Linked DNA regions of Oreochromis niloticus. The protein of the gene in region 3 purifies or fractionates together with the protein of the main gene of each other region. This does not show direct contact. Links are inferred from orthologs where the notes say so. Each region holds a gene or a part of one and is shown on either strand. Other genes may lie near its edges. The genes, in order: ufd1l, klhdc3 and ubxn7.

Region 1 (10,092 bases), on a different chromosome or scaffold from region 3:
GCTGAAGGTGAAAAGAATAAGATAGGTCTGTGCACATAAGTCAGACTCCCCGTTTGTATCTCTTCAAGGCTTTCGGCCCTTCTTGCGTAGTGACTGCCCTTGTCCAGAGAAGGCGATGAATCTGTTCATGGCATCATCCTGAGAAGATTTAGAAGAAAATGGAAAAATATGGCATGAACACTAAATATAAGACTTTAAAAATTGCCAGGAAAGAAAACTGTTTGCATTACTTACATCATCCACAATTTTCTTGGGCTGAGGCCTGGAGTTTCGAATGAAGGTGATCCTGCCAATTTTGAAGTCATAGTTGGGAATCCCTCTGTGTGACGAAACATTAGACACACAACAGCTTGGGAAACCATTGTCTGCGTGGTGTAGCTGTGTGCTGTCACCAGAGCACAGCTTAAAAACATATGTAGGACAATACCAGTGTATAGTTACATTGGTATATTTTATACTTCTTTGCTGTTCAGTACATCTTAGTAGAGACAAACACTCACCAAAGCTGTGCAACGCCATGTGGACCATTCAGAAAGTTCAATAACCACTCCAGTTTTTGTTTTTGTTTTGTTTTTTTTTAAAGGTAAACAAAGAATTTTCTGACAATTATGGTATGGTTCAGGCTTTAGCATTCAGGGTTAAGACCAGGGTACCTAGTTGCCTTACAGCATAAATCCGGTATTCCTCTCTGTTTTTATGAAGCATAAAAAAAATATACATAAAAATGCTCAGAACTCAGACAATTTAAATATATCTCCTGACAAACTCATGTGCCTCAAGATGTCACATTCTATGTCTCAACTCAGCTCACCAACTTACGCCTGACCAAACCTGCAACACAGGTAGCCCTGTCTGAGATCTCTAACATAGCCTAATAGATATAATGGTTCCTGCTTGGGGCCTTTAATATACTGAACAGCAGCAGTTTGAGCTGACTGTCATTCCTCTCCTAATCCCTTTCACAATATGCTGTTAAATAAAGGTGTAACATTCCCTGTAAAAATAGCTTGTCTTAACAGTTGAGCTAATTTTATGGGAATGTGTAAGACACTCTTTTCACCTTTTAATGTCACTTGGGGCGATGGGAGCAGGGCTGGGTTCAATTCCTTTAGTTTTACCATCCAAACGATTACCAGAACCGGTGAAAGCCTGAAAATAAAGCACAGATTAGAGATTAAATTATGTTCTTTAAGTACTTATAGTAGTAGTACACATTAACTTGAACTCACTCTGAAGCCTGTGTCCATGTCAGCATAACTGCTGGGATCTGTTTCTTCCTCCTGTCAGAAATACAGTTTTATTACATTGTTCAAAGCAGAAAATGTACAGTTACCATGATGGTTTGCTCCTTACTGTTGGTTCATCCTGGTGATTAGGCCGTCGTTCAGGCTCTTTGTAACCCAAAGGAGCATCAAAATCCACCTGAACAACAAAGTAACAGCACATGAGCAAGCAAAGCAACAGAAAAATTCACTGTGACTGTAGTGAAGTCCGGGATCTTACATTCATATCACACTCGATGATGGATACTGCTTTATCTGGTTTGGTCTCCATTACTCGCAGCTCATATATCTGAAACACACAGATTACCTTAGCCTCGAAAACAAACCACACACAAAATCACACGTCACACGTAGGCTGTAACAGAGTATAGAAGCACTTGATCAAAGCCATCCATGACCACATTCATTATAGGCATTTTTTATGTGTTTTCAAACTTTAAAACTGCAGAAGTCTCCTGTTTAATCTTCCAGGAAACTCTCCAAGAACAACCCTTGGTCACATATAATTACAACAATGATTTAAAGAAACTGATTCACCTTTTCGTTGTAGTTAATGGCTATGACGTCACCAGTTGTCAAGCATGCAAAGTTTCTCAGTGCGTTCTCCAGTCTGTAATGAATGTTAACCACTTATGTTAAAACATAAAGTGTCAAAAAAAATAAAAATTTAAAGTTCAAATAAACATTTCAGCCTGTACTCCTTACACTGCTTTGGGGTTTGTAATGTCCAGGAAGTCGGGGCTCTGAGGCTGGAACTTTGAGTAAGTGGCCACCATGAGGTTGACACTTTCCACCTGAACGAGACCGCCTTCCTCTAACAGGAGATTCTGCATCATCTGCAGCGAACAAAATACAGCAAATGTCACTCGAGCCTTCATTTTTTTCTATTTCCATCCATCTATCAAGTCATGGGGGAAAGAGTGCAAGGTGGGAGTACTCGGGGAGAACCTATGCAGATAAAGGAAGAACATCCAAACTCCGCACAGAAGGCCTGCAGCCAGCTGGTATATTTCAACCCTGAATCATTGTGCTGTGAGAAGATAGTGTGAACCACAGCATCGCCAAAGATTTTAATCAGCAAAGAATATTTAGTTCAACATGTTGCAAATACCAACAAATTTGGATTTTTAAACTCATACTTCTACAACATTGTTATCCACTTCCACACAAGAAGAATAAGTAAGTGCTCCTCCACTGCTGACAGGAGACAGTTCAGCCTGTGTGATGGTGACATTAAACTCATTACTGTTTCTCACCCAGTGAGGTAGGTAACAGATTCCCTCGTCTGCCACAAACTCCAGGACACCACAGTGTGTCATTCTGTCTGAGTTCTTGTTGGTCAGCTTGAACAGCATTGGATAGGTAATGTTAAGCCTGCCTGAACAGAGGAAAATAGAGCAATGCTAAAAACAGGATGTAAACAGGACATTTAGTAAGAAGTTTTTGAATAAACGTGCGCTTACTGAGCTGGTCGAGAGCTGAAGGTGGCATTATTACTGAAAAGAAAAGAAAAATAACAGTTACTTTAAGGAAAATATGTGTTTTCATAAAATATGTTGAAATACGATATGCAACTTTCACCTCATACATACCAACATAAACTTGGACATTTTGAGGATATTGTTTTTACAGTTGTCTTTTCTAACAAGTACCACAAAGCAGTAAATAGTTAAATAGTTAACTTCAGATATGTTTGCGGTACCGGATGTATGTTTGGACAAGGGAGCTGGTTACACCATGTGGATGTTGGCACATATTACACCCACAATACAGTGGTGAATGCAGAAAATTAGCTACATGTAAACCTGCCAAACATTACACCATCGCTCATCAAACTCTATGTCCAATTTGACTTCATCAGACATTTGAGTTTTCACAAGTGCTTCAGGAGGAATCCTAGTCAGATGGCTGGACGTCCTAAACTGATGTGAAGAAGTAGAAGGCCTACCCTGAGGTCCTTCCCAATGACTAAGTTCCCCACCTTATCTCTAAATGAGAGCTTAAACACCCCACAAAGGAAACTCATTTCCCCCAGTCTCTTAAATGTACTGGACTGATGATGCACCAATCTTCCAAAACACATTCCCTTTTTGATGTTTTAACATTGATGGTGGAGAGCACTGTCTAACATACTGAACTAAAACAACATGTTCAGAGTGACTTCTGAAGGATGGGAGTTTCATTTTCTTCCATCAGGATTAAAATGTTTAATCACAAGATAAAAGTCAGTCAGAGCAACTCTGTATTGATTTCCAGTGACCTTTCCCTCTAAAAAGCAACTGTGGAACCAAACTATGACATCAAGCAAAACAGAATCACCAGATCCTGTATTTGCAGAGGTCAAAGATTAAGGTCTTTATTTAATTCTTCACCTATACATACTTTAATTTGAACGAGTGGTATGGGAGAAAATACTGTACTTCAATATCTTTTGTTCAGAAACCTTGAATTGGCCGCCTGTCTAAACCAACATGACCATTCTTTGAATGAGACTAACTTTTGCCTCCTTTCTCAACATCGGAGCGGTCGTTGGGTCCAGCCAGCATGGACACCGAATAGCAACGATACTGAGTGGAGAAACGGTTCTGAAAGCCCCGGGCCAGCTGGTGCTCGAACACATGGAAGGAAAACTGTGGAACAAACATCAGGCTTGTCAGTCAAACTCAGGTTACTTCAGAGCAAATAGATAACAAATGAATTGTTCAGGACAGTGGATCTTTATGCTGTGCTGTAGTTCTGTTGCTAGCCGCTAGCTAGCTAAAACTGCAGCAACTACGATTTGTTTTGATACAAAGTTACCGGCGAGAAAAACCACAGTGCTCACCATGTTGACTGTTTCTGTTCCTCGCTGCTAAACGCCCGCTTAATGATGTTTGTTTCAGATTTTGTTTCAGTTTTCTAATTTAATGACAATGCATACTACCCGATCCGTACCGGAAACCCGATCGGTACCCCGCATGCGCGAAAGGTGTCTACTTCCGGTCGAAGCGTTTTACGATAGTTACGGGTCAGAGCAGTAGCGGTTTTTGATACGGGCGACACGGGCGGTTGCCCGGGGCGGCATCGTGGTGGGGGCGGCATCACGGGCATCGGCAAAAAAAATAAATAAATACAAAATTGCTGTACTCATGCTGCCACCGACGTCATGCCAGCGCATTTTGTGAATGGCATAGGCACCGATCAGTTTTCTATCGCCCATTTGCTGGGAGCAAGGGCGCCCTCCGTTTGCTAGGTGCGCCTGCTGCTTGCGGCACAGGGAGGAGAGGGCGGGGCGGCGGGGGATTCTCTGGCTGGCTGGAGCAGCATCTAATAACCAACTTGCAAAATAAAACAAAATAAAAACAAACCAACAAACACGAAAACACCAGAAATTATGATACAGACTTATAATTTGCACCGATGTTTTTTCGAAATTCTATACGCGAAAAGTGAGCGCGAGAGCCCTCGGTGCGCCTGCTTGCTGCTGAAGTCAAAGGAAACTTTATTGTTATCTCCACTACATACAGTCCAGTATGTAGAGAGACGAGACGACGAGGCTCCAGTTACAGCAGAACAAGTAAACAAACAATAAATATAAGAAGAGCAAGAAAATAAATATACACTTTAGGACTCGGGGTAAAGGGATCAATAACAATTTATAATTTACAGTTTTAAGATTTGAAGTCTCTCACACAACCTGTCGAAAGGGGAGGGGGGCGGCTGCTTCCAAATAGAGCACATGTCATTCATCATGTTGTAAATCCAAGCCCATTATGTATTCATGATTTGAATCCTGGGTTGTGCGAAATCCCAGAAATAAACCCTAGACAAAGTGACTCTGTGAACTAAGGTGTAGGTTTATTAGGTTATCTTGTGGTGATCCTCGGGTTGGGGGATGGGTGTTTATACTGGAGTGGAAGATTAAAACCAATGGAAGATGGACAAGAAAAGTTCAAAGCCACCAGGTGCTCAGTTTAGAAAAAAGAGAAAAGAAGAGGAGGAGAAACGAGCAAAAGATACAGATAAACAGATGTGTCATTGGATAATGGCAGGTCACCCTGAAACAATCAGAATCAGAATACTTTATTAATCCCTAAGGAAATGATGTGGGTTACAGTTGCTCCAAGAAGAAATGGTAAAAATAGTAACAGTAGCAGACTAAACTCCAAACAATACATTATGTTACAGATTTTACACATTTAAGAAATAGCACTAATATATACAGATCACTCAATTATAAATATCAAGGATTAATAGAGGTGATTATAAATAAATATTCAGAAGATTGACAAGAATATTACAGAGTAATAAAGAGTGTGTATAAAAAGGGTGCAACTATTGAAGTGGGGGGGCGCCAGAGGGCGTGTTCGCCCAGGGCGCCAAACAGGCTAGGACCGCCACTGGGTCAGAGTATCTGTTAAGATGTTAAGAATAATAAATGTCTCTTAAAATGTTTCCGATAATGAAACATTTAATATAATGTAGACAAAAACAAAAAAATAAAAAGATAGTTACGGATCAGGACTCCCCGATCCGTACCGCGCATGTGCAGGGGTTTTCTTCTTCTTCTGTTCGTTTAATGGCAGTTTACTCCCCAGTGTTCGAGGATACCGCCTCCTGCTGACCGAGCGAACGAACCCTATTGTAAACTGAATTAGCGTGATTTCAAAAGTGTGTTAAATTTCATTTAGTGATAGTCGAGTGTGTTTATGCTTGTCTGTGTGGAGAGGATTGATTGGAATAGTGATGATGATGTCCACTATCACTGTCAATTGTCAGTAAACACATCATCTGGCTGATGAATCTTCATGTGAGACATTACAAAGTCTGTATTATTAACTCTGTAATTTGGCGCCATTCTTCTTATTTTACGGCGCTGTTGTTCAATCGGGGGATGCTCTCTGTTGAGGAGAAAAGCATAAATTTGTTTGTATACGGATTATCCATTGTTTAAATGTCCCGGTGGTCGAAAAGGAGGCACAGCTGTTGAGAAATGCTAGGAGCTAACTGGGCGCTAACCGTATCATTCAAATATATTGAATGTCGCAATGTTGGCAAAGAGAGGAAGTGACGTAAGATTTGCGCATGCGGGGTACTGATCGGGTTTCCGGTACGGAAATGGAAATCAAATGGGATGGCAAAATCACAGCCTTTAAAAAACCACATATGCAGGTGTTACATATGGTTAAAATGACTCAAATGCACTAAGTATATACATATTTCATATAAATATAGTCTATAACTTAATTATTTTCTGTAGCCCACATAGTTGAACATTTCCGTTTCATAAAACGTGAATTTTGATTCTATGTACTTTATAGCCTGTATAATTAATAAATATGTAGCTCGATAAGTGTAAAATCCAGAAAGCAACACACCATGGGGCGGTTCATTTACAAACACAAGTCTAACTTAAGTTTCACACTGTTTTTTGTGTGTAAAATCTGAAATGCCCGTGGTGTTGATTTAAAATGTGCTCTGGCACAATTCTAGGCATCGCTTCCTACTGACAACAAGAAAAAAAGCCGGTCTGCACTTTGGGCTGAACCATTTGTTAATGGTGGGTGGGAGGAGGGTAACACCATGCAATATATTCAGTTTTAGAATTTATATTCAGGGTTAACTGTAGCTAGGCTCAAAGTGTTAATGCTGTCTTATTTTAATAAACAACACTGTCATATACAAGACTAGGATGGCACTTAGGGTGGCAAGGGAACATTTTAGGGTGGCACATGCCACCCCATGCCACCCTTCTAGATCAGCCCCTGGTAGTGCTCTTTTTCAAGTTATTTAACACAGCTTATTCAGAGCTTTCATTCTCAACCACTCCCACCCAGTAAACATCCACTTGCTTTAACAGTTTAATGACTCTGACTCCATCCTAGAGTTAGAGTAGACCAAGTTGACATCAAGTCTTATTTTCCTCATAAGCTGGTAATAATCCTCATGACAAATAAAATGCCATACAGTGCAAAAGTGGTTCAGTTGACCTTTAACCTTCAAGCACACGTATTAATAAGCATGAAATCAAATACAAGCTTTTCTCACAGTCACAGTGTTTATAAGTCTTATGAAGACCAAATCAGACATATATAAACAACAGCAGCACACTGATGACAAGTTAAAAGACATTTCAACTGTGCCTGTATATCTACTTTACAAGTGGTACAGTAAATAAAATATAAAACTAATACTAAGGCAGTGTTGTGATATTGTAAACACCCTTTGATTAACCATAAAAAACAGACACCACAGTCAAAAGATTTAGGCTCTGCCAAAATGTAGCTCCATGTGATGTCTCCGGTCAAGAGTCTGTTGCATTGTCTCGGTTGTTTAGACGCAGGCTTTTATAGAGGAGGCCAACTTTTAGCTACTTCCTGGTGCACAGATTCAGGTAACCACTGGCAGTATGCAGTAAGCAGAACTGGAGGAGGAGAAAAAAACATTGTACAATTAGATGACAAAACAACTAACCAAATCAGAAGCAAAGTAAGAACATTAATGCTTACATTTCTCTTCAGTCTTCCAGACAGAGTGGAGTGCCTCTCTGCAGTCAACTTTCTTTGACACCAGTGGTCCCAGGAAAGCCTCTGTCCTGGGCTGCAACCTAAAAACGGCAAAGACATGACAGTAAAAGAAAAAAACTCCTTGAGATGTGCTTGTTTATGGAGTAAATGAATTAGGAAATGCAGTAAAAAGGGAATAAAAGTGTGTGTGTGAGAGCACCAACTTACTTTGCCCATGTTTTCAGCATGATGGAGGGGTTTGAGAGCAGGTGACTGCTGTGTTTCTTTAGTGCAGGACAAACCTGTTAACCATAGAAAGTACACATTACAGTGAGTGAGATAAATGTTCCTGTCAGGTTTGTTCATTGTGCAGTTCGTGCTAGGTTTCCCGTGTTTTTATTTATTTATTGCTGTTTTTGTCACAAGGATAACTATGGAAACCAAATGGATTTACGTCCCTATCCTCACCTATGATCGCAAACTTTAGGTAGTGACTGAAAGAACGACATTGTGGATACAAGCGGCAGAAATTAGCTTTCTTAGAGGGGTGGCTGGCCTCCCTCTTAGAGATATGCTGAGGAGTTCAGCCATCTGTGAGGGGTTCCGAGTAAAGCTGCAATTCCTCCACATCAAAAGAAGCCAGTTGAGGTGGTTCAGGCATCTGACAAGAATGCTTATTGGGTGAGATGTTCCGGGCATGTCCCACCGGGAGGAGGACCAGGAGAGATTATATCTCTCAGCTAGCCTGGGAATGCCTTGGTGTTCCGCCGGACAAGCTGGAGGAGGTGGCCGGGGAAAAGGCGGTCTGGGCTTCTCTGCTTAGGCTGCTGCCCCCGCGACCCAGCCCCGGGTAAGCGGAAGAAAATGGATGGATGGATGGATGAACTACAGGAAGGGTTGTTCAAGATAAACAAAAAGCAGTACCTGTCCCTCCAGGAGAAACTTGGCAAACAGCCTGTAGCGCTCCAGGCCCTCTGGATACTCCATCTCCACTGCAGGCAACTGCCAACCCACACGGACTACAGGAGAAACACAGCAGTTAAGCAACTGTAGACAGAAAGAGGTTTCAGCTCTAGTGCTCTGCTGTGGAGAACTCACAGAAGGTGCTTGAACGGTGGCATCTGATGGTACCGGTAGAAGAACAGAACCACGGGGACGGCGACTCCAGCGGAGAGCCGAAGTGACAGTACTGCGGGAGAAACTGTGGGACCCACTCTGCTTCTACAGCTGAAACACCTGACAGGAATAAAGGAAAGGCATCAGTCTGCAAATCTTGTTTCAGTAACCCAGCGCCACTTTATTATCCTTTAATTAGGGATTAAAGATATTTAGAAAATAGGTAAAAATGATTAAAAACAAGCATGTAAGCAGCCATACAATCAGGACTGTGCCACAGACTATAAAAGATGGACCTGCAGATTCATGCAGTAACAACCTTTTAATCACAAGGTAGTCCCTTTTATATATTCAACTATAAAAAGTTGTGACACACATGTAGGAATCAGACACATCCTGGCAGTCAGTTCGAATTAAGAGGACACATGTGATTTTATTCCCTTTCAGTCTCATTTACCTCTCATGTACATCTTGCTGGTCTCCATGATCTCCTGGTAGACCACAAACTCTGGCAGCGTTTTGAACAACGCAGAATTTGGATGAATGAACACCGGCTCATCCATAAGAGGTGTCTATGTGTGAAAACGGATAAAGATGAGGATGTGAAGAGACCCATAATACAGTATATACTTCTAATATTCAATTACAGACCTCAAAGGGACTTACCTTGTATGCATTCTTCCATTTTGGGTCCACCAAATCCTCTCCCTGGGCACGCCTCGCAAGATGGTCTCCGAGACCAGCCAGAACAATCTGCCGCAAGCAAACCACCTGGTGCTCCGTCGGTGGAGTCATCTTGGGATCCACAAAGACTCCCACCTCTGGACACACAGCGTTCACTGGGAGGAGGGAAGATAAATAACTTGCAGCTGTGTTTCAGAAGCAGACATGTTGATTATCTGAGTTCGCTGTGTCCATGTACCTGCATTGGTAAGTTGTCCTCTGAGCTTTCTGATCTCCACCATAGCTTTATACCTCAGCCCACTGTTCTCACAAAACCTGGGAGTACAGCCAGCAAATTCACAAGCACCAACAGCACCTGGACACACAGGTATGCAAGTTATTAACATATGTAATATATTCAAAATTTAAAAATTAAGATTTCATGGACCCCAGTTAAATCTGTCTCTGTAAAAATTATTCTAATGAAGAGCCTCCTGCTGTTTCAGTTTCACCTCAAAATTCGGCTTGTTGCTGAAACCTGGAAG
Region 2 (10,826 bases), on a different chromosome or scaffold from region 3:
TGTTTTAGGAAAACTGGGAAATATAGACAGGGAAAAAAAAGATATTGAATTATCCTATGAAGATCACTATTGTGTTGCAGATTACTTTAATGCTTCAGTACAGGTAATTATTTTTGTCAGTTTTTTATTGGATTCATACATCAATAAACACACAGACAACTTGGAAAACGTCTCATTTGTTTTTTGATCTTCTCGAAAACCAGTTAAGGCAACACTCATTCAGTCTTACTCTGAAAACGTCATTACACTTCACCTCAGGAGTCTGGGTTTAATATAGGAAAGGCAAATGCGATCCCCCCCTCCTGCTTTGACAAACAAGGTGGCCTTGAGGCCTTCACATAACAAGCTGGACCTACCTCAAAGTTCTGCGTTATTGTTTGCCTCACTCATGTCACCTCCTGTTAGAGGAATGAATGAGCTCATTGCTGACACCAGTCTGAGTTATGCATGACTTGTTGATGATAAAAAATCAACTGACATATGAACAAAGCACCGCATTGTGGTATACTTTGACAAATAAAGCAGAGTGACAAGACATGGGTTGTGGGTTCCCAGATTGTACAGACAATTTACAATACATAAAAGGACAAAAATGATTTTAACCAACCGTTATAAAATTCTGAAAATTCAGTCACAATTTGTAAGCCACGGCAAAACGTTTGTGTGGACATGAAAACACGAGAACCCAGATTATGAGCCTCTTTTGGCATATTTGTTGCATGGATGTTAAGACTCACGCATATTTTTATATTATTCTAGGTCATCTGTTGCTTAAAAGAAACAGTAAATGACTGAGTTTCAAAAGACCGCAGCGTCAAACTATTTTTAAGCATCAAAAGAGGATGATGGGAGGTTCAAGTGTTTAAGTGTCTTCAGATATGGTGTGGGAGAACCACTGGGGCCTGTCACTGACTGACTCAGAGATCCCCAGGACATCCAAGGAAAGTAGCAGCCACTGCCTTATCTGGCCCCTACCCATGGATGATAACAACAAGTGGGTTTTAAGCAGGTGCTGTGCAGTCTTCAAAACAACTGTACCAACTGTATGAGAAGAAGAGGGGTGAGGTTAGGGCTAAAATAGAAAGTGAGCCACATAATTGAAGCGGTTCAAGTGAAAATATGCCTTGCAGACAGTTGCCTGTCTCTGCTGTTGCAGTCAATCTGAAAACTCTGTGGAACGATAATTATTTTATCCTACTCTTAAAAGCACAAATAACACAGGACAAAAAACTCAAAAGAAGATAAAACTGCTGTGGAAGAGCATGAGACTGTAAGAAATTACGTGTACTTTCATATCTGCTTTATTTTGTGCAGTTGCATTGAATCTAGGAACACTTCTGTCTTTAATTGTTGGGATTTTTTGTTGTTTTTTTTTTTAAATTTGGAAGGTGAGAAGCCCACAGACAAACTTCTCCCTATTCTATCTAACAGCATCACTCAGACCAACCTTGAAAGAGATAAACAAGCCAGAGAAAACCTTCAGAAAATGTGCAGACTGTGGGCATATGCTGTCAAAGAAAAAAAAGATTACAATCAGCATTCTGTATTAAGCGATCTTCTTCCCATAGAGAGGATCTGAGGTGAAGTACAGAATGGTCAGATCGGTTTGATCCTACTCTCCCCTCATCTTGGCTGCTGCCAAAGCATTTTTGCGTTTTTTATGACCAGTGTGGAAATGATAATACGCTATTAAATCACTCATCTGTTTAGGATTTTAAGCTTTGTCCAATAACCCGCCTCCCTGCACCGCCGCATGACTTTCCTTATAAAATACAGCTTGTTACTTAATTGGTAATTGGAAACACAGCCTAACTAATAAATGCTGCTACAAAGTACTAATTTTTCTCTTAATTCAGAGCAATTCAAATGAACCATAAGCGAGAAAATGACCTAAGGCGCATACCAATCGTCTTCTTTAGAGACTCACAGAGAGGAGCTCTGTTCATTTAATAACCCCGAAATTAAAGGAAAATGTATGATTCAGTCATCTGGCCACAGAGTTAGATCATGCTCTATGACATCATTCTGGACTGCTCAATACTGCTTACCTAATCGAGCTACGGCGGAAGTCAAATCCGTACGTTAAACATCCGGAGATCCTGCCTGCACAATGTAGCAAAGCACTGATAGCCTGTGGATGCATAGGATTTGACATTTCGGGACAATGCTCAAACAACACTATGACTGTAAGAATGTTACTTAACTTAGACCCATGCAGCGAAAACACGTAGTGGAAACTATGAAAGAAGATCAGGAGCAGGTCCGTAATAATGTAAAACATATTAACATTTTCTGGCAAGATCCATGCAGTAATTTAACACAAAAGCGAGGCAGAAAGGAGTAATGTTACAAAAGTATATTAAATTAGTGTTTGTTTTTCAGATCAACATTATAAAAAAAAAAACCTTCTTCCCCCTTTCCTTTTATATAAATTGGTTTATTTTGCATGGAGCTGGTTTTACTGTTCATAATAACAGCGCACTTAGAAGTTTTATACCCCATGGTAAAGAAAAAGGTTAACCGAATGAGCCATTTCTACGCAAAAGCTGTATTTTTCTCGGCCACAAAAAGCATTGCAAAGCTCTTCCATCACCGGGCCTGCCCGAGAATAGCGAACAACAGTTGGGTTTTAGCAGTTGTTGTTGATTTGCGGAGCTATGCTGCAGTTGGGAACTTCTGTTCCCTATGTCAAAGCAGACACGCACACACACATGTGCTGGCTATAAAGTTTGTAAAGGACGCCACTAAGCAAATGTGTCAAAGAATGGCTCAGCAGGGCAGATGGGTGACGCAATCTGTGCAAACGCTGACAGGTGGGATGGCGGGCTGGGATTTTTTCTTCTTTTTTTTTTAGGCACTGCAGACTGGGTGTAGCTGCAAGAAACACTTTCACTAGGGTGGGCTCTCTGTTCACTTAAAAAAAAAACAGACTATGTCTAGAACACACACAAAAACTAATAGTATTCCTCGGTAGTATACAGGCGTATTGTTTTCCACAATATACAGTATGAAGGTTGACTGCAAGTAGAAAAATAAAACAGTTACCTTACATGTGCTGCAGACATGTCATCATTTCAAAAAACGGAGCCAAGTTGAAATTCCTGGGGCTGCTTCCAGACCATAACATCATCTAGCTGTAAATATGTAATGTCAGTCAGAGCATAATAAAGAACTGCCGAGTAGACAGCTTTCAGGATCACCAGATCAGACTGTCAGAATTCATTTTAAAGTTTTCAGCTGCAATGTAACAGGTCAAGATAAAGGAAAAAAACAGTATGAAATATGCTTTAATGTCAGCTGACAAAATTACAGCAGCAACAAAGTTTCAGATATCTCTCTAATCACTTATCAGAGCTCCAAGGGGCAGCCATGACCAGCTGTCTTTGGACAGCCGCAGGCACAATCTCACCATTGTGCGTGACGTGCAGCTGGCGCGGGGCTGGAATGCCTACACACAGTGAATCAATCAGAGCCCCTCCTGAGTGGACTCGGACCTGGGCAGTGATGCAGTCAGATCCGTAGCAGCTGTAATGTGGATCCTCAGTGCCATAATCCTTTTACGAGACTCCTTTCATATCAGTCTGAACATTTTAAACCAAGCTGATCACACTTAACCCACCCCTGTAATTCTATACCTTTGAAAATTTAGGCAGGATAATAAAATTGCATAGTGTGTCATAGTCACAGTGTGGACGTGTGAAACAGGCCGTTTTGTGGGTTTCAGTAAAATTCGCTAGTATATATGATAGGCTGCACATAGCAAAATAGCAAGTTAATTGCTCACATTTACCCCCGGCCCCATCACCTGGACCTCAGTTACAGTAGGAATTAAGTCAGCCATGCCCATATGAACCTCAGATGAAAGCTATTTTGTTCTCTAACCCAGGCAAGCTGCCCAGGAGCACATTCTTATTTATTGACAGCATTGACTTGGATGCAGTGCTTGCAAGCTGCAACATGAAGGGCTTTTCTCTATATCAAACATAAATAGATATGCAAGAACTCCCCGATTTGACCACATCATTATATTGGGATAAGCTGAGGTTGTTAGCCTTATTTTGTGGTTGGGTACACTGGTTTAGTGCCAGGCAAGCTGGGTTTCAGCCTTTGTGTATATGCGACTACAATGCTGACAGTGTAACACTTAGATTTCCTGGGATGCTCCATACAAAATGCTCATGCTCTGCCAGGCCTTATGAATGGCTGTCACGCAAACAGTATCAAATTATTATTATCAGATTAAATTTGCTGCCCAAGAGCTTCTCAACCAGACCCAATGAATAAGCTGGTCACAATATATGACCAATAATACTGGGGTAGGAACTGTACACTAGGGTATGACAGGGATTCACAATCTTTTGGGCAGGAGGCTGTGTGATGGGTATCTGTTAACCTTTGCAATTCAACAGTGCCATCTACTGCTCTAGTCACGCTACTGTGCATGTCACATAAATACTCGTCTGGGTCACAACAGTATCAAAAACAATGGCGCTTCATCACTTTGCTTGTTCAATTTCAGTTGCCGTGTTATATTTGTTTAAAACAGCAATTCCACATCATTTGTATTTATGACACCTTAAATTATGAGCTAAGAGCACTTAAACAAAAATCATTCAGAATTTGCAAATTGTTCAATTACAAGGATTTCTAGAAGCCTTTTTATGAAAGGACAGATACTTGCTTAAAAGTTAAAAACAGTCTGTGACATAAATTTACAGTACTGTAGAAAGGTCTTAACACACCTCATTTCTTTATATATTGCTAGGAAAATGGGAACTAGATGCAGTATTTATCAAAATATGTGTAAGCATGCCGGGCTGTGAAAAAGTATCTGACCTGTTCCTGACGTCCTTTTTAAAAAAAATAAATATTTGTAGCACTTACATGTTTGTGGCATGATGCGATGCTTGTTGTGATTTTGAACTTGCTTTACTTTGTCAGACAGGTTCTATTTAAGCGATTGCTAATCAGGCCTGGGTGTGGCTAGTGAACCTATTCACTTCAATTCAGTTTTATTTAAATAATAATTAAATCACAACAGCAATCTGTATATCATAAGACCTTATAATGCTACAGACAAAACCCCAAGAATCAAACGATCTCCTATGAGCAAGCACTTGGTGACAGTGGGAAGGAAAACCCCCTTTTAACAGAAAGAAACCTTCAGCAGAGTCATGTGGTTCAGGGATGGGCAGCTATCTGCCACAACCAGTTGGAGCAGAAGACAGGACAAAGGACACACTGTAGAAGAGCTTTCGGTCTGGCTCTTCTTTTGTCCTCCATTTTCAATTCCCTCAAAGTTTTAAGGACACACTGCATTAGTTTTTTTTAATTAAGTTATGTGTAGCCACTGCAGTGGTTCATCCCTTCAGGCTCCTTGGAAGTAAAATGTAAAGAATTGAGGGTTGTTTAGCATATTAGGAAGGTACTTCGTGATAAACAGTGATATGAAATTGTTTTTCAACCATCCTTGTTTGGACACAGTAATACAAGCCACAAAACATAGTTTCAGGAAGGTCTTGATTGTTTTGTTATTAGTGTTCAAATGTCAGTATGACTTTAAAGGAAGTTTTCTTACTTCTGACAGAGAACTTGCCAGTAGCAGGTTGAGTTTTGCTCGTTTGTTTTTCTTTTTCTTGTTTAAATTATTTCTCCAGCTTCCCTCTGTTGCACTGGGAGAATGGCCTAGATTTGTTTTAGCCCAAAAAAGGCCCATACTTTTACTGTTGGACCATCAGACTGAAAAACACAGTGAGTTATCAGTCAATATATCCATTGCTGTTAACGGGTATAGTAGATGGATACACATGAAAAAAATCCAGTAACTGTTTTACTGTTTGAATAGGAAGACTGCCTTTGCTGAATATATTTTATATTTCCGCATTGATGTATATTTTAGAATGGAGTGTGTCAAACAGATATCCAACAGATAGTTTATCTTGACGAGAGAGCCTTTAAGCAGTGACTGCAATGAACCCTTAAAAAAAAGAAAAATCAGCTTTCCTGGATGACATTGTGATTGCAATCTTGGCACATTTTAATTTACATGTTAAACATGTTCATTGTTATAGTAACTGGTGTCATTATTATGTGATCACGCCACGTGGATAGATGACAAAAACGTTAAGCTTCTGGGTCACCTAACAGGTTAATCCGGCCATTCTGCATAACATCACAGTTACAGCAAGACACTCAACTCTAACTTCTCTCTGTGCTGTGCAAAAACGGTGTCGAAAAATGCAGCCGCTGACCTATTTTGCACTTAGCACGGCAGTTAGTAAATCCATCTGTTTTTAAAGCAGAAAGACTCACGTGCGTGTTTTCCCAGGTATAAAACAGCCGACAGGGGGTGCTCGCGGTAACTTCTCATTCCATCACGCTTGGTAGGGGCTCTCGGGGGATAGCCCTGCCTGGCTGCCTGTCAACCACAACCGGCTCGAAGGTAGCAAAATTGAACATATATGAATGTTATTCTGTTTCAGTTGACTAACTCGTAACTTTGCCAAAGCTGGGAGTGAATGTCTTTGTGTTACAAGTTGTCTGTCGTTTGTTTAGAGTTTACGTTAGCTTGCTAACAGCTAAATAGTTAGCTTCGACTGTTTAGCTTTAGCCTAGCCTCTCAAAGCCTAGCACCTTGGCTGTCAAACAGCTGTTTGCAGTAGCACCATATTCGTTACTGTGGTGGTGATGTTGAGAGATAAGCGACCGCGGCGGCTAGTCAGTGCGCCTCAAAAGGTTGTTGTTATGCCTGTTAACGTTAGCTAAAGAGCAAAGCTAGCTAGTGTGTGAGGCGTCCACTGGGTGTTATAACTGTTACAGCTCAATGTCACCAGCTTTAGATTAGCTTCATCTATCAACAGTTTGTGCTTCAGTCAATCGAGATCTGTGCAGAAGCATGCACCCATTTCCAAACAAGTCTTATTTACTTGATAGCCGCTGTGTACTTTGAAGCACCGTTGTTAGTCATCTGATGTCAACAGTACACTGTTCAATAGGACAGGGGGAAAGAAGGTGCTTTCTACTCAGCTCGGCTCTTGCAAAATGTTCATGTTGTCTAATTGTATAGCAAATTATTCCAGATGAGTATTAAGTATGTATAAAGGAAACTGTGTGCACTTATACTGCTAACTTTGAATAACCTGGGAAAGGCTAAATGGTTTAACTGTATTTGCATGTTGAGGTGTCAATTTGCACATTGTGCACATAGTGCAGTCATCGAAAATATTGGCTCCAGTTAAGGTTAACATGCCTGGTGACTAGATTTGTGCTTGTGTTGCTCCTCATAGATATGTGGGCTTGAAATAGGTCTATGTTAAATGGTGCTCTAGGGGTTTTTATTTTTAACGGTAAACAAAGGTTGGAGGTCAGTGGTAAAGTGTGTCACAGGGACAGAATAAGCAAGGGGAGAGGGGAGGGGGTCAGCGAGGCAGGGTTACTTGTGTTTAACAAGTAGCGTTTTATATCACTTAAATTTCACTGTTCAGAGCTGAAAATGTCGCTTTGGAAATGTTTAATTTCCCATTGAGCTAAGAGCTGCAGGCGTACTTCAGTTTTGTCAGTCGTTACTGATAAAATGGGCAAATTATGGTTGTATTTGTTTTTAAGAAAAAAAAACAATAGAAACACTCACAAATATTAAATTGGCAAGATTTCAATAGTGTGTATAGATTGCTCAATCTCCTTGAGTAGTGTGGCACTGCTTTGTGTTCCTATAGTACTGCCTAAATGAGGCACATGTTTACTCTGACTTTTAACTCATTGTAGTGCAGTGGGTGGGCACAAAGTGAAGAGTGAATAGAAAGGCGTGGTAAGTGTAGGTCTAATCACCTCTTAAAATACCCTACAAGCTTAGATACAGGGGCTTGTACCCGTCAGCAACAGCAGAGCTGAGGTTAGCCCAAGGGAACAACAGTTACCCTTTGTTGTCCTTGATTGCCCCCTCACAACTTGCCCTGTTGTTCTCTTTAGCAGAGTGCTGCTACTACCCTTGTTGTGGTCACAGGTTTTAATGGCCTTGGTTTGATGGGAGCATCAGAGTGATGGTCTAAGCGCTCACAGTCACAGAAGTGGGGAATGTTGCGCTGGACTGTGCACCTAGAAGGAGGGCCACGGAGAGTCAACCATGCTGCTGTGGCAGTGGGTCACAAGGTGTACTCCTTTGGAGGCTACTGCTCCGGGGAGGACTATGAGACACTTCGTCAGATTGATGTGCACGTCTTCAACACAGGTATGTGGTAAATGTGTGCATTTATTTATTTATGTATATATATATATTTAGAGATCCATTGTTAGATTTGTAAAAGTTAAAAAAAAAATGAAATGAGATTCTGGAAAGACTATATTAGTGTTTATGTAAAATTGATTCATGTACTTATTTTTGTATCTTAAATGGGTGGAAAAAAATCTATTTGACAGGCAGGACAACACTTCTTTTATTCCCCAGTTTATTGAGAAAGGTTAAGAAACTGTTGTAATTTGTTGAATGTGCACAACTTTACTGAAAACTCACTCCAGTTGGCAGTTAAACCCCAGCTTTTCATTGCGGTTTGCAACAATTTTTTTTTCCAGTTGTTGTTTTTCAGTTGCTATCAGACAAGCACAGCTGTTTTCTTTAAATGGGTTAAGAGAAACACCCTTAACTCATTTTGGATGGTTTTTCCCCATTGTGTGGTCAGCCACCTGTTTTAGGGTTTTACGACTTCCCAAAGTAGATGGAGCATACCTGCTATTGGTGTATCATGAAAAGATCTGTGGAACTAATGCTTTGAGTGTAATGGAGATGGGACCTCTTTAACTACAGTTTCCTGTCATCTTGCTTTGTCCTCCTTCCCCCCCTTTGACCCATTTATTGCAAAGACTGATTCTAACTTTTTTCCTTTCTTGATGGTACTTTTTATTATTAAAGTGATGTTAACTGTACTGAAAGCTCACTGTGAGAGAGTTGTAGGCATGTTAACAAATTTTACATTTTTAGCATTTTAACCTCTCAGGGCAAGAAAGATAATAAAATAAATTACTGACTACCAACCTAATTTCCATTTTAAAAAAAAAAAAAATATATGCGAATAACCGAATATGTAGAACTTCCTTTGTAACACAGTAAGTATCAAGTAAAACTTGGCGGGCAGCATTGTTTTAGTGTTTGTTTGTTTTTTAATTGAATTTTAAAAAAATGTTCTTTAAGTTTTTATATTTTATTTATTTTTTAATAAAAGGAAAATGTTTACTTTCTGTGTTTTTAGTGTCATTGCGCTGGATGAAGCTGCCTCCAGTGAGGATTACAGGACACGAACGTGCCCGTGAAGTGCCATACATGCGTTATGGCCACACAGCTGTGCTGCTGGATGATACTATCTACCTCTGGGGCGGGCGTAACGACACAGAGGGGGCCTGCAATGTTCTCTATGCTTTTGATGTCAGTAAGTAGACCCTCATCTAACTCGTGCTGCTGAGAGTTTCAGGGTGTATTTCCTTTGAGATGAACCTGTTTGAAGTTAAAATTGTGACAACAAAAAGTAGAGGAACTGTTTTATATTAAGAAAGCTGTAGCACCTGCATGTGTGTGATAGTTTTCCATTGCATGTAACGCAAGTGCTCTGATCTCAATATTGAACAACTGCGACTGCCTCACAGATACTCACAGATGGTACACACCCAGGACTTCAGGGACTGTTCCAGGGGCGAGGGACGGCCACTCTGCCTGTGTCCTGGGAAAGGCAATGTATATATTTGGAGGATATGAGCAGCTGGTGAGTTTGATTTTTGATTTATTTTTGCTTACACAAACTTTCACTGTGAACATTAAAAATGAATCATTTTTTATTTATTTATTTTAGGCTGACTGTTTCTCCAATGACATCCACAAACTGGATACCACTACCATGGTTTGGTCACTAATTAATGCCAGAGTGAGTTAAAAGTCACTAGCTGTTGCTTTTCAGTCGTTGTTGGTTATTCCTTGACAGTGTTTCTGTATTGAGCATTCAGAATAATTCTCCTAACAAACAAACAGGAAACCCTCTCTTAAAAAAACAAAAATGACACAGCTGAACATCAGCAACATAAGTTCCCTGTGGGTATATTGGCATGTTATAAAAGCACTGCAGTGTGGAATTTCAAAGCTTCTTCCTGCTAGGCAAGTTCAAAAAGCCTCACGCTGGATTATATACAGTCTCCTTTTGGCAAATACTATTTGTGTTTATGCAGTCAACATGCTCATGTGATTAAACGCTTGTAAAGTATATTTTAGTCATGATATGATGGAGTTACTGTGGAGGAAGTCAATCCATTCAGTTTTAGTTACAGCCATGTTGTCAGAAAGGAGATTGGACTGTGGTGCTTACAGATTTAGCGGTGCATGTGACTGAATAATACTTAGGATTGCATGCCTCTTTAGGAAAATGAAAACTTCTGTGCTGTTACTCACTTGCTTTTTTCCCCTTTGAACTTTGGGATCATTTAACATTTTTATTTTTACATTTGCATCTGTAAAACTCACTTTTCAGTAATGATTCTGCTATTCTTTCAACCATGTTAAAGATTTAAAAAGCCCCCCTGTCTGCATAAAGTTCATGGTTAGACAATGGCAGCACATTCCTGAAAGGAAAGCTTGTGAAAGACTTTTGCATGACTACAGGGCAGTGACATGTAAAGTGAGTCGAGGTTTGCCTCTGTTAGAGTTGGTTGCAGTATGTGAGAGCAGGTCCCATTTCAGTCGTATTTCTGGTGAAGTTCATATATCTTGATTATGACTCTGTGTCTTGCTCCCATTAAATTGTTTACACTATCCCTATGACTGGACTGCGTTCTTTGAAAAGGGATGGTGG
Region 3 (9,912 bases):
GGCAGTCTATTTTAGTTAATACAGCAATTAACTGTGACAATTTGTTGAAAATCACATATCTGTTGCTGTCTATATACACAGAAATTAACATTTAACAGTTACACTCAGCAACCTTCCTGTTCATAATTCATCTTTAATTCAATTTATTAATAAATCACAACAACAGTTGCCTCAAGGTGCTTCATACTGTAAGGTAGACCCTACAACCATACGTACAGAGAAAAACCCAACAATCATATCACCCCCTATGAGCAAGCACTTTGGCGACAGTGGGAAGGAAAAACTCCCTTTTAACAGGAAGAAACCTCCAGCAGAACCAGGCTCAGGGAAAGGCGGCCAACTGCTGCAACCAGTTGGGGTGAGAAATATTACCAGAATACAACCAGTGGGCAGCCACTTCAGTCCTCCTCGAGCTGTGCTCACGACTCATTCAGACCGATGGCAACATGTTAGGAATCTGTCTACATGAATAAATTAGACGCAATTATTTGTAAACTTCCAACAATCTCTCTGAAGCTGATTGCAGTCAGTCCAAGTGAGACTGTTACTGTTTGCAGAAAGGTTACCACCTATCAGGCAACCCGTGCAATCACCAATGGCATAAACATTTAGTTAGCTCAAGTTGAGGTCACAGAATATAAAAATATTAAATACAGCCTATTATTTTTATATACAAGGAAGCTGTTGTCCTATTTTTACTCATTTGAATTAGCCATTAGCTGTGAATTAGGTAGTTGCTTTGTCAAGCTAAGTGTCACCAGTGTTGGATAGTTTTTCAGTTGAGTTGATTTAGTTTAATTTTGCTTGGCTAACGTTATCTCGGGATGGTGGTGCATTAGATCAGCCTCCTTGTTTGCAGTATTCCCAGGGTATTTAAACTTTTTTAAGAAAATAGCAATATTTAGTGTCCCTGTATTCATACAACATCACTACACAAAATATCATCATACTTCGCTCTATCATTTTTTTCCTCAATCCCTAGTTACTATATTACAATGCTCATGTTTTTCTGAGAGTGGTATATCACAGTCTAGCTTTCCATCTTTCACTTGTGAGGTCACATAAGGCTGGAGCCTATCCCAAGTTTCATAGAAAGGCAGGGCACACTGGACATGTTCCCAGTCCATCACATTCACACCTACAGCCAATTTAGAATCACCAATTAAACAAGCATGTCTTTGGACTATTAGAGGAAGCTGGAGTACCAAGGATGGATTCCAAAGCGGTACTAACCACTACACCAAGGTGTCACCAGCATCTAGGGATGGGTACCGGTTTCGGTTCTGACATAAACAGTAGTAACCAGACCGAAAAGCAGCGCACATTTTGGTGCTTTATTTCGGTGCTTTTTTTTTTCTTGAGATGTCATACACTTTGGATTCTAGCCAATCATTTTACCTTTACAAGGATAGTAGGCGGGCCCAGGTACGTATGTTCTTTTAGAGCAGAGCTACAGATTAAAAATGCCCAAGGCGAAGCGGTCAAAAGTCTGGCTGTACTTCACAGCAAAAGATGCAAACTCAGCAGCCTGCAACAAGTGCTTTAAGCCCCACACCCCCGGTACCGCGAACAAAAAGGAGGAGATCACGTTTAATCGGTTATAACACGGGGTGAGAAATATAAGTCCAGACGTGTGGTATCCACAGAAACCTCTGAATCTCAGCTAAAATGTCATATAAACCATTTCTACAACCACCAAACTCAACGAAAACAAGCCATGATTAAACGAGCAGTTATGTAAATGCGCACAAGTCCGCTATACAAACAAGGCGAACCAGAAATTCTCCAGACTTCATGTAACCGGCTAAAGATAGCGCTGGAAGATAACCAGCCTATCACCAATTCCAAACACCAAGTTTCACCACACTCTGACCAAAATTCACTGAATGAGCGGCAAAAGAAGACCACAAAAACACACAGCGGCGCAAATGCGCTAAGACAGACATTGGCTTACCGTCCAGATTTCCTCCGTTATTTTCTCCGGTAGCCGGTAGCCATGTGATTATCAGCAGTTACCACGCCTACCTAGCCGCATCAGAGTCGTTTTCCGTCAACAACCTCCATTTTAGACCCACCTATAGACACGTGACTGGACAGACGTCACATGCAGTAAATTTGGGCCCACGTGGGTTTTGGCATTACAACGTCTGATTGGTTGACGTAACGTGAACGTGGCATCGTTACTGTGACTCTACTGGCTGAGACTCTGAGACTGAAGAAGTCACTTGGATGAGTGACGAAACGTTTCTCCCACAAAACGCTACGTCCAGATGAACAGATTCAACTTTTGGAGATTTACTTCCCTGGATGATTGAGAATGCATCAAGATATTGGCTCAAACAATTAAAAAGAGGTGTCAATCATGCAAATTGACCAAAAGAAACCAAAGTTACAGCCCCTCAGATTTTAAAGGGCCAGAGACCAATTACGTGCTCCATGGCAGAAAAGGCCCATTACCATGTAAATGTATGGTTAATTCTTCAAAAACGCATTTTTAAAAAAAAGCATTTTTAGGCATGTTAATAAAATTAATTAATGACTGCTCTTAAATACCTAAAAAAAATCAAGTGGCATGGTGTCCAATTGTGTGCAAGAATTGGACATTTTTGTACAACGTCTGGATATTCATGTATTGACAGCGCTGTAATTTTTCACTGTTTCACTTTAAAAACATAAATCTTTGCACAGATGATGTTTATATGTTGTTACGGTTCTTATCATTTTGCAGAAAAAAAGAGACTGCTAAAAATAAAAACATGAGAGGTTTTTGGACGAAGTTTGTGTTCTCCATTCTTTAAGCACAGATTCAAGCACCGTTTCAAAAGTACCAATTTGGCACTGGTATCGGATAAAACCTAAACGATACCCATCCCTACCAGCATCACATCAAACTCATGACAGTGAACCTTTTGTCCGCTTTTTTTGTATTATACCGGATCAAGTCTTCTTTCTGCTTTATGCAAACCTCACCAATAATTTAACAACACTGTCAGCAGTATCAATAAAATCATATAACTGGGCGAAAGCAAAGCACAGAGTGTGGCAAACAGCAACACTGACCTCATTAAAAAATCTTAAATGTTCAAACTTCACTGTGTAATGCTATAAGTGTTCCACATAAGGCCCAGAGTAAAGTTATAACCAGCTCACTAAACATTATGAGTACATACACACGTGTTTTATTCACTCAAGGGATCAAATGCTTTTATTATCATGTGACAACATAGTCTCGTAGTACTTAGTAACTTGGTAGTATCTTAGTACTTGATTACTTGTTTTTCCGTATATGTGGTCACAGAAGCAACCACATGTCACTTTGACAATGGACACATTTATTTTACCTTTTATATTTATTTTGATTTTAAATGAAAAAAAAAATGCTTTACTTATTTAACTGAGTTTCCCCAACTTTTGGGACAAAGAAAGCACATCTTAAACTAACGCTATATCACTATAGTGAAATGAGTTAACGCCAAACAACCGCGTGATAGTTCAGTTTCAGTTCAGAAAAGGTTTGGTGGGCGGAAATGCTCCGCATATACCACGCGATGTTTGGTAAATAAACGGAAATGTGCGAAAACACCTGAACAATGCAAAAAGCCTTAATGTCACACATGGCGGTAGTCCACAACGTCGTGACAGTGATTTGGACACTCCACATCTGAATGAACCTGTAGTATTTCTAAGCGGAGTGCCGCGGGGCGACGATGAGATTTCGTTTGTACTGCGCATGTCCGTATCAAGTAGCAGCCCCTGAACAGAGTCTCCCTCTTCTTTGCCGCTTAATAACTTAAAAAACACCGTCCACTGTGTCAAAGTGCTGATAAACTACAGATAGTGTCTGCGCTGACACTCGGAGTCCTCAGGTTGTGACCAATAAATAGTGTCTGGGGCCACAGCCAGAGCCATAGTGACAGTAACAACATGAAGTCTGGCTGGTGGTGATGAAGAAGGGAAATGTTGAACAGCCGACCTCCATTCCACATTATCGAGCAACACGCCACGCAAAAAAAGAGCATAAAAACCGCTCTAGGTTAGCGAGATTGTGTCTGTAACGAGCACTAACAAGAAAAGCAGACATTTTTAAGTGATGATTAAAAATAACTTTCAAAGCTGCCGGCTTAAAGGTTCATTTTCCGAGTCTTTCACTTGAGTTTAGCTGATAACTGCCTGTGCTTTTTCCCCTCTGCAAACCACTGGCAGCGCAGGAGCAAGAGCAACACTTAACGCCCGTTTTCTCATCTGCGCACGGATTTCAAGATTTATCCGGCGAGGGAAGTGTTCCTATATGAGCACAAAAATCCACTGAGTGAAATAAACGCTAATTAAAATGTTATTTTTACCTGTTATTGCTGTGAATTGTTGTATTAACCCGTTCACCCCCGGAGCTGAGGTATCTCCGAGCGCCGCCATCTTACCGCCACAAACAACAACATAGATGAGGCGCATGCGCAAAGTCGTAATTTTTCCCCTGCCCGGCGCGACGCGGACCCCATGCGTAACAATAGTGCTGCATTCTGGGTCATGTAGTTTTAATGAACTAAAGTCAATTGCCGTTGCTGGCTTATTACGTAAAAAAATACGTGTGTTGGAATTTTACACAGTTTTTTTTATATTATATTATATTATATTATATTATATTATATTATATTATATACCCTTCTACCTTAGTAATAAAAATTAATAAAATTTCTCTTTATTTTCCTGCTATTTTGCTAAAAATATAAACCTTTCTTTAATTCATATTCAGAAACTGAGACCAGCTAGTTACATTTTCTGTGCTGTAGACACAGAGTTATTCATATGATAATGTTGTGTGTAGACTGCTATATTTCATACATAATTTACCTGGTCATAATTCAGTCAACATATCTACACTCATCTACACTCACTGGTCACTTCATTATGTACACCTGTTCAACTGCTTATCAATGCAAATATCAAAATCAGCCAATAGCAATACCATAGCAGCAACTCAGCATATTTAGACATGTAGACAAAGTCAAGATTACCTGCTTAAATTTAAACCAACTATCAGAATGGGGAAGAAATGGGATAGTTGTTGGTGCTAGACGGGCCGGTCTGAATATTTAAGAAGGTGTTGATCTGCTAGGGTTTTCCTACATAACCATCTCTAGGGTTTACAGAGTATGGTTTGAAAATAACAGAAAATATCCATTGAGCAGCAGTTCTCTGAGTGAAAATGCCATGTTGATACCACAGGTCAGAGGTGACAAACCAGACTTCTTTCAGCATCTCTAAGTAAACAATACGTCAAACCTTAAAGCAGATGAGCCACAGCAGCAGAAGACCACACCGGGTGCCACTACTGTCAGATAAGAGTTCCTACAGGCAAATTGAACAATAGAAGACTTGAGCTCAGATCACCTCAAAATGGTTTCTTGAATAAGTTCACTCTGTTCAAACTGCGTACACAGTCACCAAATCTCAATCCAATACAGCACCTTTGAAATGTGGTGGAAGTAGAGATTTACATCATGGATGTGCAAGTGACAAATCTACAGCAACTGTGTGATGCTGTCATGTCAACATGGACCAAAATCTCTAAAGGATGTTTTGAACATCATGTTGAATCTGAATCACAAATAACTAAGGCAGTTCTGAAAGAAAACAGGGAACTAACAAGGTGTATTTCAAGGTGTAACTAATGAAGTGGCAGGTGAGTGTATCTAGATTTTCAAGAAATTAAGTTTTAATTAAGGAATTAAGTTTTGTTTAAAGTCAAAGTCCAGTAACTTTAACTTAAAAGAAACTCATTATGCTTTTCCTTATTGTCAGATACATACGTAATGCATGCATAAACAAAAAGACAAATACTGCTAATAAACATGGCCAAAGTTTCATATGCAAAAGCAGTCCCTTTGAGGCCAGACTTTATGGTCCACATCACACTCTTATATATTTTCCTGCTCTTGAGTCTGTATGATGACTCATGATGGACGTCCCCTAAAATGTGAGCATAGCAAGCCCCACCCACCTGTGATTTAAACCATCTGTTTGCTGGGGGCAGCCAATAGGATGAGTTCTAATTCACCGGAGACCCAAAGTTTGGCTTAAATGGCTATGCAGCTAACAGCTTGTTTCAGACAGATGATGAGCTGCGGGGCTTCATAGAGTGTGTTGTTATTGTTTTGGCTGTTAATATAGCAAATCTAATTTATTAAGCAGCTGTCATAATAAAGGATCCTTTAATACCCAGCTACATAATCATTTGACGGTGAATTAAGTTTCACAGCTGTGCTTTATGAGACTCTTTATCTTTGAAATTAAAACTACACAAACCCGCTTCTTAAGTAGTGTCATTTTATTGTTATTTGCATCATACATTCAGTTTGAAAACGGCATCAACCAAGCCCAAAACCTGAAGACTCAGTCCTAACAACAAGGAGCAAACAGCAATCTGAACAGCTGCTCCTTCAGTGACCAGTCAGAGTCATGTCATCTTAAACTATAGTATCTCGCACAGATCTGTTGTTCTGCCGGGTGAAAACAAAACAAGAGGAAAAAGAATGTCACTTTACAAAGGGAAGGTGATGATGGCACTGACTTTCTACATCATGGCATGTCCAAACTATTTACAAATACACAACGTGATACTTTCAATCCCACTGGCCAGTTTCAGTCAAGCTGAATATAAAAATAACATTACATTCATTTCAATTAGCAAGAACGTCAGTGCTGATAGTCTGATAATTGTTCTACTGTTAATTTATGCTTACGATCACAAGCAACTGGATTTAAAAAGGCTGTGATCATAATCACAATAAACAGCTGTTCTACGATAGAAACCAACATTTCAGCGTGGGTTTTAGGCTACAGTGGGAGATTTAAATGCCAACTCAGGGTACTTTTAACAATTCAAAGGTTTCCAATGAATCCAAATAAAATCAGGTTATAATTATGAGTGCAAAGGGAGCACTTAGTTTAGCACTTCTCATTTAATACACATAAATTTGATGCTTCTCTACTATATTCACGTGTGAACTTAAAAGCCCTGAGGTGGGGAGTTCATATTTCATATAAAAGATGCATCGCATTTTAATTGTACCAGGGATAAAACCAAGTGCACTCAAGCATATACAGGAGCACTATATACAGGAGACCCAAAGAGTAATCTATTAACTTTGGTTCCAGGCAGTCATTGTATTGTTTGATCTGAGAAAATCCTGTATTAAATCTTGTCAATAAATACACAGAAATTCTTTTTTTTTGAAGCCATCCTAAATGCCAAATGAATCAATGCAGTGTCTTCACACATCTGCTGAATGTAGTTTAGTAGTTTATAAAGACTGTCTGTACCAGCAGCATTAATAGTCTATCTTACATTAGTTATCATGAGATCAAACCAGCCAATAGAATGTAAATGAAGGAAAAATCTACATTTTGATTTTATCAGTTCAAATAAACTTTATGAGCATTTTTTTAGCCAAAGAAATCTAAAGCTGTAATCTATGAAGTATTACAGCCACATTAAGAAAAAAAAATCAATCATTTTGAGAAAAAAAGTCAAAATGTGGAGAATACAGTTGTTGTTTCGAGACAAACTAGCATGGTTTTCATACCCCCTGGTTAGTAAAATCGTACTTCAGAATCAGTTTGAGTAACAAGTAAGGAAATGATTTCTCTTTTAAGGACGTTGAAAAGTTTATACAGAAACACACAAACACAGAAGAGCTGATTTGTACGAAATGAAATGGCTGGCAGTGGACAGATGCGAGGTTACCCGTGGTTACACTCTCGTCCAATAAAGAGGATGCATGTTTGATCACAATTTGTTTCACTAACTCATGTAAACAAGGCATTTTTAGAGGGTAGTGCGACCGTGGCAGTTGGTCTCAAAACAACAACGGTAATCTCCACATTTCGCCTTTAATCTCGAAATTTTATCTTTATTCTCAAAATGAGCAACAATGTTTTTGTTTTTCCCAATGTGGCCCTAATATTCTGTCATAGTAATCAGTGATGCATTAAAGGCTAAAAAATTAAAATAAACTAAAAGTGACGGCACCACTGATTACAAAACCATCATTATGGACACATTAATTGTTCTTACATTCTCATGAGTTTTATTTACTGCAGAGGTCAGTTTTGTTAATCAGCAAATGGATCTATAAGCTGTAAAATCTCTGAACAAGGAACAGACAAGGCTGCTGGACATGGAAAAAAAATCCCCCCTTCTGTAAGTAACAGAACCAGTTTATTAAAATGGTAAATCAAGCCGTAAAGGATCCGCTTTCCATCATGCTGCTTGATGTCAGCATGATGTCATTATGGCGCTGTGAGCTTCGTTTTAGAGGCTTCCCAAACTGTCACAGTTGGTAATAAATTTGGAACAGTTTTGAAGCTTGGTGAGCCATATCCTAAAGTTTAACTTAAGCAGCTTCTATTATGTTATAGACTTTCCCTTTAACGCTGAATTGTTCTTTTACTCGATGTGTTTCAACATCCCTGCCCAAAAACCCCCCCAGCCTTTTTCCGCCCAACCGAAAGAAGTAAACTCCCAAAATCCCTTAACTATACAAGAATGCCTCCAATGTTAAGAATTCCTCTGTTATGATAACAGTGAAACTTCAATAGTGTGATAAATAAGACTGATTTCATAATTTCCTGAACTTCATGACTGAGAACAGCACATCCCAAATGCAAAACAACACAAGGGGGGGAAAAAAGTGCAGAGGAAAAAAATGTGGAAATGAGTGTACGGTAGTTTTTCATTTTCACAGGTCCACCTTAATAAATAAAAGCTTCCACACAAAAGTACAGATCAAGGTTTGAATGAGTGCATACATGCATACATGTATGTTGAGTGAGCAGTGGGTGAGCTATATGTTGGAATGTGTGACGCGGCTATATAATTGAGTGACGCCAATGTGAATCGAAAGGTTGTTGTTTGTGTAGGCAGGACAGGCAGGGAGGTGAGGGAGAACACTGTGAAGCTGGCAGGTAAATCGTACACTGCAGCTTAGAAGCGGATAAAGGTGGCGTCGATCTGGCGTACGCTGGGCAGTGCCAGCATGATCTTTCGCCGGTACTGTGGATCCTTCTGTAGAGGGTTTCTTTCAAGGTAGACCGTCTCCAGAGAAGTGGCGTTCTTCAACTCATCAAGATCAGACCAGTTATCTATCTGATTATCGTTCATCTGAGGAGATAATACAAAACAACAAGAGCAGTGAGGTTGCACCATCGGCTTAACTCATAACAATATAAGAACTACACTTTGAAACTTTTTAGTACTGACCGACTGTTTAAAGAGCAACACACTGAACGTAGCAACAAAAATGTACTTTTAAGAAAGCTTTGTTTTAAATGTGCTGCTCAACAAAAAAATTATGTGATACAAATACACGGGTACTTTAACTAATTATGTCTTACTTTGAATTTTCTGTCATTTATTTTGTCATTTTTGCTCCCTGTCCAACCAGCCCTCTGTATGTCCGCCTTCATTACATCCACCCACCCTGCCTCCACTCTCTTCTTCACATCTCTGCGCACTGTTTTTTTGAATGACTGACCCTGGGGAATTAAACTCATCCACCTTCACTGCCTCTACTCCTTGCATCTTCACTTTTCTACCCATCTCATTCCTCTTTTCTCCAGTGCATACCTCCACCTCAGCAGGATCTGTTCCCTACCCACAATGTCATAATTTTTATTAACAAGCAAAGGTGTAGTTAATTATTTGATGATGGTTGCCTTTTAATGCATGCCGACGTTAAATTTTCTATGTTCTAAGAAACTTTTCTTCTTCTGTCAAACTGTCAGCAGTGAAGATGGGCTGTCTGTACTGAGGCTGTACATTAAACAACATGTCAAACAAACTATCTGTACCCAGAACTCCTGCAGCTCCGTCAGGTGGCTGATGTTTTCTATTTTCTTTACTCGATTGGCTGC

What was found.
Region 1: the proteins of ubxn7 (region 3) and ufd1l purify together in Homo sapiens (affinity purification with mass spectrometry; 3 studies listed by BioGRID and IntAct, with this or other methods). This does not show direct contact. The link is inferred for Oreochromis niloticus from reciprocal best matches to the Homo sapiens genes UBXN7 and UFD1.
Region 2: the proteins of ubxn7 (region 3) and klhdc3 purify together in Homo sapiens (affinity purification with mass spectrometry; 3 studies listed by BioGRID and IntAct, with this or other methods). This does not show direct contact. The link is inferred for Oreochromis niloticus from reciprocal best matches to the Homo sapiens genes UBXN7 and KLHDC3.

Annotation. Positions count from the first base shown.
Region 1 is NC_031977.2:25,878,770-25,888,861, reverse strand, and holds the start of ufd1l (ubiquitin recognition factor in ER-associated degradation protein 1), read right to left. Parts: upstream 4,260-10,092; 5' UTR 4,111-4,259; coding exon 4,108-4,110; intron 3,914-4,107; coding exon 3,781-3,913; intron 2,780-3,780; coding exon 2,747-2,779; intron 2,662-2,746; coding exon 2,540-2,661; intron 2,120-2,539; coding exon 1,989-2,119; intron 1,894-1,988; coding exon 1,821-1,893; intron 1,573-1,820; coding exon 1,504-1,572; intron 1,423-1,503; coding exon 1,354-1,422; intron 1,281-1,353; coding exon 1,230-1,280; intron 1,150-1,229; coding exon 1,061-1,149; intron 320-1,060; coding exon 235-319; intron 139-234; coding exon 64-138; 3' UTR 1-63. Other genes in the region: putative ATP-dependent RNA helicase DHX37, read right to left, coding at 7,610-7,686, 7,772-7,869, 7,997-8,070, 8,693-8,787, 8,867-9,004, 9,342-9,456, 9,551-9,723, 9,807-9,923. UniProt on the Homo sapiens protein: Essential component of the ubiquitin-dependent proteolytic pathway which degrades ubiquitin fusion proteins.
Region 2 is NC_031978.2:24,075,209-24,086,034, forward strand, and holds the start of klhdc3 (kelch domain-containing protein 3), read left to right. Parts: upstream 1-6,221; 5' UTR 6,222-6,442; intron 6,443-7,968; exon of another isoform or gene 7,969-8,002; 5' UTR 8,003-8,073; coding exon 8,074-8,227; intron 8,228-9,242; coding exon 9,243-9,419; intron 9,420-9,633; coding exon 9,634-9,749; intron 9,750-9,836; coding exon 9,837-9,908; intron 9,909-10,826. UniProt on the Homo sapiens protein: Substrate-recognition component of a Cul2-RING (CRL2) E3 ubiquitin-protein ligase complex of the DesCEND (destruction via C-end degrons) pathway, which recognizes a C-degron located at the extreme C terminus of target proteins, leading to their ubiquitination and degradation.
Region 3 is NC_031982.2:16,073,798-16,083,709, reverse strand, and holds the start of ubxn7 (UBX domain-containing protein 7), read right to left. Parts: upstream 4,482-9,912; 5' UTR 4,450-4,481; coding exon 4,344-4,449; intron 1-4,343. Other genes in the region: ppp1r7 (protein phosphatase 1 regulatory subunit 7), read right to left, coding at 8,984-9,160, 9,850-9,912. UniProt on the Homo sapiens protein: Ubiquitin-binding adapter that links a subset of NEDD8-associated cullin ring ligases (CRLs) to the segregase VCP/p97, to regulate turnover of their ubiquitination substrates.